Drosophila melanogaster: one gene and its partner. Changing the gene in region 1 together with any one later gene gives a genetic interaction. Each region holds a gene or a part of one and is shown on either strand. Other genes may lie near its edges. The genes, in order: Adf1 and stau.

Region 1 (7,647 bases):
GGATCTGTTAACGTAGCTGGATACTTACTGCCCATGCGTCATCTAGTGATTCCTTTGATTTGTCCGATTTTGAGTCAGCATTATCCGATTTTGTGGCCATTTCAATTACATAAAATCAATCATTAGCCCGCACAGCTGATTTTGTTTATGCCGCTGGCTCGCGGCGTTGCCATATCACCCCGATTGAAACTAGTCGGTTACTTTCAAATGTTTCATTTAATACCAAATAATTGCACAATTAATCATTAAAAATGTTTAGCAACTGGCGTTGCCGGCAACTATTTCGATTTTACTCGTATCCATGTAAAGTGTGTAATATGCGATCACTATGAAAAAGGTGTTTTATGTTTCCCTTTGTCACACTTAATTAAGCATTTCAAAGTGTCTTTCAAGCGTTTTCGGCATATTACAACAGAACTTATAAAATTAAAATAACTTTTACGTGTATACTTAGTTTTAGAGCTAAGACCCGATGGCAAATTACAACTAAATCGTAGTCAAAATTTACAATACGCTGCATATAAAGTGTTTCCACGGTCTTTTAACAAGCTACTCATAATTCTAGAATCGCTATTTTCAATCGCATTTTTTGTACAGAGCTGAGAACTGGGCGCGAATTAAATCACCGATCATGGGGTCAACTAAGCATATAAATATATATGTTTGTCTACATGGGCGTGGGGAAGTATCATTACGCGTTATGGTTTACGCTGTGGGATGTTACGTCTAATGTTATTCTGTAGTTTGACTTTAAGACCTATGAACTGTAGAAAATGACCGCACAGGACCCCCAAACCCGTGTAGATGTGGATGTGGGTAGCCGTGGGTCTGTTCTCGTTTGATCTCAGGGCAGAACGCTCTCCAGTTGGAGCAGCTGCAGCAGCTGCCGATGACAGCCGCCCGACAGTTAGTACTTGTTGTGCTGTGCCAGAAGCTGCATGTCCGTCAGATACTTGATGATGTGCACCTTCGCCTCTGCCTTTTGTCGCACGCCCAGCGTGTTGAGCATGTCCGTGACTACCATGCCGAACGACTGGTCCTCGGCGCTGACCGCCTGCGAGACGTTGTTTTGGAAAATCTTGATGGTGTTGAGCATGTTGTCGCTGTGCTCCTCCTCACTGCGCTCTCGCTTGAGCGGCGGCTCGTAGAAGTATGGCTTTTGGTCCTTGCCCACGGCAGTGGCCAGCTGTGCATCGCTGGTGACAGTAATTTCTGCAAGAGACCGAAGTATTTAGCAGGGATCTCTGGTGCTGAAATGCTGGTTCACCTACCATGCGGATGGGTCAGTGCCTGGGCCGAGGTTGTGGCGCTGCCGTTGAAGGGCTGTGCAAATATATCCACGACGGTCTGTTGCTGCGCCTGCTGCTGCTGCGACGGATCGGCCACCTGGTTGGCGCTTTGACTCCCATTGGCGCACTTGCCGAGCAGCGACTCTCGATACTGGCGGATGGAGTCAACCAGGAATTGCATCTGCTTGAAGTAACGCCAGCGCGATTCCTGACATAGTTTCATCTCGCGGGCGAACTTGTCGCGCAGACTCTTCCAGCGCTTCGTACATTTTTGTTCTAAAATGAAAAAGAGTTGTTGGTTTATGATTATTAAATGTCCATATTTAATAGTTATTAAACTAATGTTGCCTTTATGTATGCATTGTCTATTAACCCACATTTAATATATGTATGATCCAAAATAAAGAAGCCTTAAGTTCTGAAAACTCAATCTACTATTTTATTGCTTGGTTGGTAGATTTTAAAAAGGTCGCATAAGCTCATATTTCGTCTGAAATTTGCGTCACATTTTTTTGAGAAATTACTGACTGCCTTTCTAATGACTCACTTAAAAAATAATAAAAAAAATGTTTTTAGTAAGCCGAAAATATGTATCACATGTTTCCAAAAGTCCATCAGCTAACTTAAACAATATTTTACATCGGCTAAACGGATGAGCTGGCTGACTCAATATAGATTGTTTACTCTAGCAACGAGATGCAATGTTCAAACTCATCATACACTTTCCTAAACTACCACTTAAAGAAAAAAACGTTTGCGAAGAAAAGGGCATCTGACTATTATTGCCTTCTCCCTTGGTTTTAAAATAGGCTGCAATGTGAACTGATTGGATTTTCGGGCGACCTTCGCCTTCCTTATGATCCTAGTGCGAAAAGTTAAATTTATCAACATTCTTCGTGAGCTGCAAATCCTCCAAATAAATGAAGTGATAGAAATAAATAAAAAAAAAAAGACTGTGCCTATAATTAGGTGCGTCACTGTACATATGTATGTACATATATCAGCATATCATACGTACATAAATGTACAGTTTGTCAAGAAACTGTTTACACACTGTAAAATAAGTTTAATTTTTGACTTTAAAGCTAAAAATAAAGGGTTTTTTATGCTTAATTAAACGCAATTTTTTTTATAAAATATAATTAAACAATATTTATTTTACTTATAAATCAAAAAACAAATTAAAAATATTAAATATACAAGAAAATAAACAACAAATTCCAAGTTTACACACTTTTGAGACTGTCAAGAAACTCTTTACACAAAACACTAAATCGAAGTTTAATCCTAAATTTTTTAATTATTTTATTAAAATTTTAAAAGTTTTGGTATGTAGTATGTTCCCCATTGGCTTTAGCTACAAGTTGAAGCCTTTTTTTCATGGATTGGACAAGTTTTTGCAGGTCATATTCAAACGGGATCTTTTCACACTCTTCGACTATTACAGTCATAAGCTGTTGTTGTGTTTTAGGTCCCTTTTTGCCACCTTCTTCTTTAAGTAGGTCCACAAATTTTCAATGGGGTTCAGATCAGGACTCTGAGGGGGCGTATAGATCACTTTACCACAGTTATTAAGGCGCCAGGTGCGTACATTGCACTCTTTATGTTTCTGATCATGTCCTGGTAAAACTTAAAATTTGGCTTGTTGTTGCTAACCAGACTAATTTTTTCTACACTGGCCTTCAAATTTGTTTTCTAACATTTCTAGATATTGCACGGCATTTATTGTGCTCTCAATTAAGGCTAGTTTTCCCACTCCACGGCTGGTGATACAGCCCCACACCATCAGTGACATTTTTCCAAATTTTATCGTTGGAATGATATTTTGTTTTTCTAGCGCACTCAACGGTTTGCGCCATACTCTGCTTGGCCCGTCGTTATAAAAGAGCATCATTTTTGTTTCGTCACAAAATATGACGTCATCCCAGTACTCTTCCGCATGATCCATCATTCACAGGGAATGAATGACGCTTTTCAATATTGATCTCTGATAGCAAAGGCTTTTTTCTTGCAACTCTTGAAGAGTACCTATGGCGTAGGATGACTTGGCGCACAGTTTCGTGTGACACAGTTAGGTGACATTCTTCCCTGATATCCTGAGCAAGTGATCTGACCGAGATTCAGGGGTTCGCAATCACTTTTCGCATGATAAGGCGGTCTACTCGCTTGTTAATTTTGGTTTTCCGCCCACCACCACTCTTAGGTTCAAGCCTGCCCTCTTTTTCCGAGCCTTTTAAAACATTGTAGACGGTCTTACGGGATACAGGAAACATTTATACTAATTCTGGAAAAGATTTTCCCAACTGGTGGTTATAGTTTATTAATTGGGTAACTTCAAAAGTTAATCTCTTTCCAGGCATTTTATTAAATTTAATAATTCGCTTTAAGCACGTTTGATCAGCAAAATTTCACAAGCAAAGTCAACAAATTTCAATAGAAGCGTTGTAAAAAGCAATGCAAAGCCAAAAATAACGGAAAAATCGAGTTCGTTCTAAGAAAAAGAACAAAACAAAGTAGGAAAACAAAATGTGTAAAGAGTTTCTTGACAGTCTCAAAAGTGTGTAAACTTGGAATTTGTTGTTTATTTTCTTGTATATTTAATATTTTTAATTTGTTTTTTGATTTATAAGTAAAATAAATATTGTTTAATTATATTTTATAAAAAAAATTGCGTTTAATTAAGCAAAAAACCCTTTATTTTTAGCTTTAAAGTCAAAAATTCAACTTATTTCACAGTGTGTAAACAGTTTCTTGACAAACTGTATGTATTTTATTTTATAGGGTAACCCGTCAAATGCTTGATAAAGTATACCTCTATAAATGAAAAGAAAAAAGAAACCAGATTCGTAAGTAAATGAAATGTTTCTGAAAATATTACAAATCTAATATAAACTAAAATCTTGTTTCTGTTACATTGAATAAATGCTTTTTTCTCGAAGACCTGTTCATAACAACCGGTGCAAGCACACCTGCGCAGCTGTGCGTGGCGGTTCTCCACAGAAGGTTCTTCAAGAAGCTCTGGACTAGTGTAGTCCGGAACTGTGCAGAAACTAGAACTATGCCATCAAACCCACCCAAAGAAGCATCAAATCGGGAACCAAAACAAACCGTTGGCAGCAGCAGCGTCGGTGGCAGAAGGAAGGCAGCGGACAGCAGCTTCCCAGCGCCAGCAGAGACGTTGACGTGACGGTGGCTGTGACGTCGCCGACTCCCGCTGCCCGCTGCCAGGAGACGGAAACCTGTGGCATTGCTGCTGGCTCCACTTGACTGCAACTCCAGCTTTCCAGCCACCTACTTGCATAATCGAAAGCGGATGAGGTGCAGCGATTTGGCCGAAAATTTAAGGTTCGATCAACGGCCGTCGAGGGGGTGGGGTGAACGGTACATTTTGTTGGTATACTCATGAAAACGAAACGAAAGCTGCCTGGTCGGTCTCCGGTATGTACAGTGGGACTCTGAAGTGTTGACACAGCTGTTCTAATTTGTGCTTATCTATTGACCTTTCCAAAGCCCTATATTTTAATTTTCCGAATTCTCATCCTATTCAATATTAAAATAAAATCCATAGTTTCGTCTAAAGAACTGAGCAACTTATTTATTTTACTAATAAATACGTATTTATAACCCGTGCCAAACTGTTTTCTGCCACTGTATGCTGTATGCATGTATACGTGTGTGAGCAGCGCACATCGCAGTCGCAGTGTACGAAAATAAACGCTGGCGCAAGCAGAATGGCTGCGGAGCGAGCGAGACAACTACTGCGACGCGACGGCAAAGTACAGCAACTTCAAAAATATCGACTGAGCACAGTCTGCACACCGACAGAGCAAGCAGGGCCGCAGTCCGAGCGCCCGAAAGGGGCGCTCATTTTAGAGCAGATCTTTACAGATAGAAATTAACCTAGGTTTAATTACTAATGAACTGTATTCTAAATGCAACCATATAAATGCAGTAAAAAAAGTTCGCATAAAATGCAATTTATGAGCGGTGCAGCCCGCGCCCACCCTCACACGTATAGATCCCCCCCTGCCATTTCCTAACCATCAGCCAGCTACTGCGCCGCGTCGCCGTTCACTTTTGCGTCGTTTTCTGTCGTCGTCGTCGACTGACTTGTCCCGCCCCTTCGACCTGCGCCCGCACAGAATTAATCAATTGGCTGGGGCTGGTTGGGGCACGGACCGAAGACGGCTGACAGAAAGCAGAAAACCCGTAGCCAAAACCAGCCGAATTTCACTTACCAGGCACACCGAGCGTTTCGGCGATTTGTTTCCAGGTCTGGGCCTTGCGCACAAAGTGCTTGTAATTGTAGTGCGACCTGTCGTATATCACTGGGTTCAGCTTGACAGCCTCGATGAGATTGAGATCAAACTGCTGCTCAAGATTGGCATCCAGCTTGTCCATCTCAATGGCCGCCGTGAGGGTATGCACTGAGGGGACAAGACGGGGAAACAAGAGTTACAAATTTAGCGGGGACGAGACGGACGTGGACTGGGTCGGATCCCAGTTCCAAACTGGGCACACGGGCTCCCGCAGCCGACGACACTCACTTTGCTTCTTACGTTTGCTAATTGTTGTTAAGTATTTGGCGCGAACGCACGCTCTGTTTGTTTTTATTTTGATTGGTTTCTTCTACGAGGAAGGAACGTCGACGTTTTAATTTTATTTCTCAGTCGCGTCTCTGCCAACGGTAACGGTACGTCCCAGCTCAGTCGCGTCTCTGCCAATTAGGGGTGGGAAAACGCCGATGAAGGGGTCATCAGCGCATCGATAATTTTAAAACTCTCATACAATAACAATATGTTATGGCGACTATCGATGTTTCTGATATATCACAACAGCTGCGTAAAGCGTCAAAAGGCTTAAAGTTTTACCATGTTAAGATTTAAGATGTTAAGATCATAATTCGTTCCGAGTTTAGCTCGTTTAAAGAAGGAAGCGTACGACTATCGATAGACGGAGGGCCACCCTTATTTTAGAGGCGCCACCTTTAGGAAATGTGCGGCACCTTTGGCCAGTTGGTATATTGTAACGGTTCGTCTGCGGTCACACTGTTTCTGATTAGACCAAATGAAACAAATGGCGGCACAAAAAGCCTGGACGGATGAGGAGCGTCTGGAGCTGGCGGCCCAGCTGGACGCGGAACTGGATGCGTTTATCGATGGCCTGGAGAAGAAACGTTACGAGGAGGGCTGGCCGGAGGACCGCTGGCAGGAGGAGATGGACAAGCACCCGTTCTTCATGAAACGTGCTCCTCAGCCAGGGGATGACGTGCATCCGATGTTCGAGGGTCTGCAGAAGCTCAAGTACGATCCGGAGGAGAACACGCGCGACGAGCTGGCGCTCAACTACAAGGAGGATGGCAACTTTTACATGAAGCACAAGAAGTTCCGCATGGCAATCTACAGCTTTACCGAGGGCATCAAGACCAAGACGGACAATCCCGACGTGCTAGCCGTTCTCTACAACAACCGCTCGGCGGCTCACTTCTTCATCAAGAACTACAGATCCTCGCTGAGCGACGCCCAGCGAGCTCTGTTCTACAAGCCAGACTACACAAAGGCCCGCTGGCGGTCGGCACAGTGTGCGTACGAGCTGGAGAGGTTCGATCTGTGCACCCAGATGTGCGAGGAGCTGCTCGAGGTGGACGTCGACAACGAGGTGGCCATCGCGCTGCTGCACAAGAACAAGATGAAGAAGGTTAGAATACGTGATCCAACTGGATAGGAACCCACATTAAACAAGTTATTTCCGTAGCTCGAGATAGAACGCAATCAGCGCAAGGAAGCTGCCGAGGCAAAGCGACGGCTTACACGCTTCCACAGACTCCGCGACGCCATCGAGCAGCGCGCCATTAAGTTTGACGATCAAAAAGTTGGCAAAAAGGACGTCCTCAGTGAGGAGCTCCTTTATCCAAAGTTTCTGCCTTTGGAGGACCATCCGGTGCACCTAGACGAGGACGGCAGCACTCTGATCTGGCCGGCTGCGTTCTCCTACCCCGAGTTCCTGTACAGCGACTTTTATCAGCAGCTGCCGGAGACCACCACCATGCGGGATTGCCTGGCGACGCTGCTCACCGAAAAGCTGCCATACGACAAGGCACACAACTACCGCCTGGGTAACGTGCACGTTTACTACGAGAACCGCAAGGTGGGCTGTGTCCACAAGGTGGACGAGGAGAAGCAGCTGGCCGAGATAATCGCCGAAAAGGGGTTTTTCGTTTCCGGTGGCGCTCTGCTCTTCTATGTGGTGCACAAGGATTCGCGAGTGGAACAGGAGTTTATAAACGAACGGCGACGACCCATGGTTTACAGTTAAGACAGTGAGCAAATAAAGTGATTCCTTCTTGAAAACAAACAAA
Region 2 (5,085 bases), about 11 Mb from region 1:
CTGTTGGCGGATCTTCTGCATCTGGTTGCTGTTGCTGGAGATGTTGCTGCCGCTGTTGCTGTTGATGTTGCCGTGGTGATAGGCAGCCCCAGCCGCAGCGACGGCGCCGGCTTGGTTCGACGACGTCTGTTGCTGCTGCTGCTGCTGAGCGTGGAGATGGTGATGATTCAGACTGCAAAACGGAGGATAGAGCAAGCAAATTGGTTAATCGATGGCCACAAGTAAGAGCTCCTGGGGCGGATGCGCTGGCTTCTGCGGTTATATCAGCAAACAATGCACACCAAGAGGATTATAGAGGCCATCGAGACAAAAGTGTACATCGACTGGCGCACGGGAAAAACAAAAACACCAACGAGAGAGGTCCTAGAAGCTTCGTGGCCCCCCCCAACCCTCTGCCGTATGTTGTTGTTCCTGCGGAATAGCAGACAACAGCGACCACGCCGAACAATGGACAAAATCCTAACAAAGCACAAAAGCCGCATTCTCTTACGCATCGTGTCATTTTTCGCCAACTGTCAGTTTCAATTGAGACGCACCTACTGCGACACCCTGCTCCTGCAACCGCTCCCTACCTTTCCTTTCCCAATGATCGAGGGTAGGAGAGCACTCTAGCGACCTTTACCTACAGCCTCGTACATTTCACAAGACAAGGAAATATTTTTGGCAATTTATAATCGCTAAATCAGTACGGAAACAAGCCTTCAAATTAACATTGATATGGGCAATTTGTGATTAGGATCAGTTGATATGCGATAAAAATGTCCTGCGTAAGGGAAAGGTAATTAATTGAATGCTCTTAATGTTTATGGACACTCTTTTTTGAAAACAAGTCTGAGCAATGTGATAATCCATATTTCAGGCTAATACAAATCTGTAGTAATATCTGAAGTTTATTCCTTTCGTACCTTTCACTTGCAAGTTATATGGTTAAGAGGATTTGATTTCATTTGCAAAATCTCATCTCTTATCTTTACGAGTTCTTTAATTTATTGTCTTGCGAACTTATTAGATCCCGCTTCAGTTTCTATAACTTTAATCTTCTTGCATATTTCACCTCTCACTTGGCACTGATGAAAGTCTATCATGATCGTTAAAAGATCGTACGCAAATGTACGTTAGAATCAGCGAACGTCGGTAATAAATTCATGTGCGACCCGATCCGACCGGCAGGCAAAACGCAACTGAATGCGGAACTGGATGAGCAGTTTGCAGAGAGTTTGGCGAAACATATGATCGTAGACAATACGAGGAGCCTGAACTACTGGAGGCCGAGCCGAAGGATACTCGCGAACGTCAAGGATAATTGCAGCGCAGTCGGCAGGGCAAACCCGTTATCATCGAGCGGAAGTCATGCTGAGCGCGAAAGAACAAAGAGCCACTGAAATTATAATTTATGAGTTGAGAAAATGGGATGATGAGTCTCACACCAATTGTCAGTGACAGGAATTAACATAATTGCCGCAACGCATAAAGCTCAGACAAGCTGGCGTTTCGAGTCGATGTGGAATCTCTCTAGGATCCAACCAAGCCAGGGAGATACATTTTCCTCACCTGAGATTCACACTGAGTCCATGAGATCCAACCAGTGGCTAGTGGTACATTATTGCCTAAACAATTTATACTGAGATCTCGATCTAGATTAGGAAACTCTATAAGATGTTATCCCATATTAATAACACACCTATCTAAAAGTTCCTTCCTGTACATAGATAGATGGGAATTCTTCTAGACTTGGAAAACCTATTTAACCCATGTTACCCCTTCTTGTTTACATGGAGTTTCGATTGAATGAAGGGGATGATAACCATTTCCGAAAACAAACTGAACCAACAAGGCGTACCATCTTGTTTAACTCCAAACATAGTTAGAACTGCTAAATTGGAACCGAACTCCAAAAGGTATCACAATTTAATAAACTGATACTACTCTTATTTGACTGAAGGATGAAGCATTATCTGGTTTAATTGTTATTCCTGATAGCGTCAACGACATAGATGGCTTACCGTGCGTGGAGGTCGCGATGTGGAGGCTGCTGGGGCGGCGGTGGCGGCTGCTGTTGCTGCTGAAGACTGGGGCCCAGGTGCTGCTCCATGCCGGGATGCAGATGCATGTGGGCATGGCTGTGGCTGTGATGGTGCGCAGCTCGGATGTGGGGCGCTGGCCGGGCGGCATGAACGTTGTGCTGCATTTTCTTGAGCTGTAACCTTTAGGACTCCCGTATGAACCAGCGACCGCAGCTGCAAGGAGGAAAAGGAACATGGATGAGACGGACACAAACAATGTTTTCCCTGTCCGCACAAAGGGCCCTGGAGGTGTTTCTTTGTGCGGCGATTGTGCGTAAACAAGTTGCAACTGCATGCGGGGCATATAAATGCGAAATGCAAATGGACATGGTGCACACGTATCTACCTATATACATACATACATATGTGTGTGCATACATATATGCGTATATATATATATATATACATAGAAATGCAACTGAAGCGACGACATCGGCCTAAATCAAATTGTGACAGGCGGCGGGTAGAAGGGTTCAAATCGACTGATTCGTTGCCGATGCCAAGCAACCACTCCTGGTTGCACTTTTCTGGTTCTTACGGCCCTCCGGTTGCCTTATGCCTCTGTGTGTTCTTGGTGAAATCGGATAAAATGCAGCTGCAGTGCGCAATTCAGGTTTCGTGCATTCCGTGCAGGGGTTCAAGGACCCAGACCCAAACCAAGACCAAGAACAAGACCTAGACCCAGATCCACACATCCATGGATTCTGTTCCCTTCCCTTCCATTCCGTTCCGTAACCCCATTCCGATTCCCAGTCCGCATCCGAAACGAGAGTGGCATAACGATCTGCAGACGCAACTCACCTTCTTGCGCTCCCAAAACGATTTTCGTACGCAATGGTCACGGGAAAATCACAACAACTGAATGCAAATACTCCGTTCGATCGATGGACACATGCACATCCATTCATGCGGGCTGGCCTCGATCGTTTGCGCAACTTAAAAAACACTTTAGAACTACTTTAACACTTAAATTAAATTGATAAACCTATTTTGCACTGTGGCTGCGGATGAAACTCGAAAAATAATGGCTTTTAGGCGAGCGGGAAGCGGGGTGGTTGCGTACGGCGGTGTTGGAAAGCGCGCGCGCAGAAGCGCCAGGGCTGCACAATAGTCGATCTGGTATTTTATGCCTATCGAAATTGATAACTTTAAAAAGGGCATAAATATTAATTCGAAATTATTTAAATCTGTAATTACGAAATATTTAACTAACAGGCTTATTGATTGAATTACAAACAACAAACAACAGCATGCGTTTTCCTGTTCAAGTGTATTTTAGTATTTGTTGGACAGAAAGCCAGCGTTTTTAGGCGCCAATGCTTAAGGTCACACTGCAAAATAATATTAAAAATAAAAACATATTTTTAAGAATTTTATCATCAGACAAACAAAAACTGAAAAACAGTGGCTATTTAAAGAACGCCCTATTACTTTTATTTTTGGGATGAACCCGGGGATGCCCCCAAGGTTGCTAGATCATGAAAATGATGACGCCACCAATTCGCTTCGATTGTTTTGATAATATTTTGGCTGTGACTCATTCGCCGGCTGGCCGATGTTTTCACTTTTGTTGTGGCCCCGAATGGCATTTAAGGCATTCCGGTGTAGACAGCAGACCAGAGAGCAAGCACACGCAGTTCCGCGATTACGCAGCACACCCACAATTACTCAGTTCAGTCCGTCAATATGTTCGATTTCAATTTGGAATTTGCGCGTGGAGGTGCCCGTTTCACCAGCGAACTTTTTCAGCTTTTGAGCGCTGGCGGGCTCAAGGAGAACGTCGTCTTCTCGCCCTTCTCCATCCAAACTTGCATTGCCCTGGCCTTTGCCGGATCGCAGGGTGAAACCGCCGACGAGATCGCCAAGGCACTGCACTTCGTCTCCAACTTTCCGCCGGAGGTGGCCCAAACGTTCCAGTTTGTGCTGGAGAAGTACCGCAACAGTAACCTGCTGCGCGTTGCCAACAAGCTGTACGTGCAGGAGGGCAAGCAGCTGAAGCCCGCCTACCAGTCGGCCATCAAGGAGCAGTATCATTCGGAGGCGGAGTCCATTAACTTTGCGCTCAACGATGCCGCCGCCCAGGCCATCAATGCCTGGGTGAATGCCAAGACTCAGGGCAAGATTACGGAGCTGGTCAGCGCGGACTCGTTCTCGGACAACACCAGGCTGGTCCTGCTCAATGCCCTCCACTTCAAGGGCAGCTGGGCGCACAAGTTCAGCGAGGAGCGCACCGAGGAGGATATCTTCTGGGTGGGCGAGGAGGAGCAGGTTAAAATCAACTACATGAACCAGAAGGCCAAGTTCAACTATGGCTTCTTCGAAGATCTGGGCTGCACTGCCCTGGAGATGCCCTACCAGGACTCTGACCTCTCCATGTTCGTGCTGCTGCCGCAGGAGCGGACAGGTATTTACGCCCTAGCCGAGAAGCTCAAGACTGTGAACCTGGTGGATTTGGCCGACAAGTTGACCGTGGAAGAGGTCCATGTCAAGTTCCCCAAGTTTAAGGTGGACTACTCCCTGGAATTGGCCGAGAAACTGAAGCAGGTACATATTATTTTTTTTTTTTGGGGGTGGGGGGGGTTGATTGTTCCACCCAATTTATGCCACAATTAAGCTCCATTTGGGGTCAGCTTTTGTTTTTATATAACACAGTTCCTTGACCTCCATTTGATGTTGCGTGCTTAAGGTGAAGTTTGGAGTTATTAATAGCAGTAGCTCAATAAATTTCTCCATAAAATCCAGAATTCAATTTTATGGACACGTTGCAGTGCTGCAAACCGCCCACAAAAATATTTATTGCCCACTTATCTCTAAAATTCCGTCTATTGATGTACATATGTATTATTTTTAGTAGCTTATCGACGGTAGGGTAGAAATGTCTTAGATAACCAAAATGAGCTGTTGTGGTATTGCGGTGGCAGCTAGTGGCTCGAACTCAAGATCATGTATCAGCCGCACGATCCTAAAAAAAAATGATGGAATTTTAGCTGCAGTCGGATGTGACACACCTTTCCAAGCACCT

What was found.
Region 2: of Adf1 (region 1) and stau, changing one suppresses a phenotype caused by changing the other (phenotypic suppression), as found in Drosophila melanogaster (one study listed by BioGRID).

Annotation. Positions count from the first base shown.
Region 1 is NT_033778.4:6,660,638-6,668,284, reverse strand, and holds Adf1 (Adh transcription factor 1), read right to left. Parts: upstream 6,016-7,647; 5' UTR 5,838-6,015; coding exon 5,837-5,837; exon of another isoform or gene 5,717-5,836; coding exon 5,528-5,716; intron 4,891-5,527; exon of another isoform or gene 4,229-4,890; intron 4,136-4,228; exon of another isoform or gene 4,090-4,135; intron 1,566-4,089; coding exon 1,272-1,565; intron 1,213-1,271; coding exon 908-1,212; coding exon of another isoform or gene 845-907; 3' UTR 200-844; downstream 1-199. Other genes in the region: CG15908 (uncharacterized protein), read right to left, coding at 29-100; Dpit47 (DNA polymerase interacting tpr containing protein of 47kD), read left to right, coding at 6,357-6,986, 7,044-7,604. UniProt on the Drosophila melanogaster protein: May play an important role not only in the regulation of Adh expression but also in the transcription of other genes.
Region 2 is NT_033778.4:18,122,691-18,127,775, forward strand, and holds the start of stau (staufen), read right to left. Parts: upstream 3,090-5,085; 5' UTR 2,865-3,089; intron 2,238-2,864; 5' UTR 2,189-2,237; coding exon 2,004-2,188; intron 1,184-2,003; exon of another isoform or gene 1,055-1,183; intron 173-1,054; coding exon 1-172. Other genes in the region: Spn55B (serpin 55B), read left to right, coding at 3,750-4,607. UniProt on the Drosophila melanogaster protein: RNA-binding protein which forms ribonucleoprotein complexes (RNPs) that play critical roles in the localization, translational repression and turnover of RNAs during embryogenesis, neurotransmission and neurogenesis.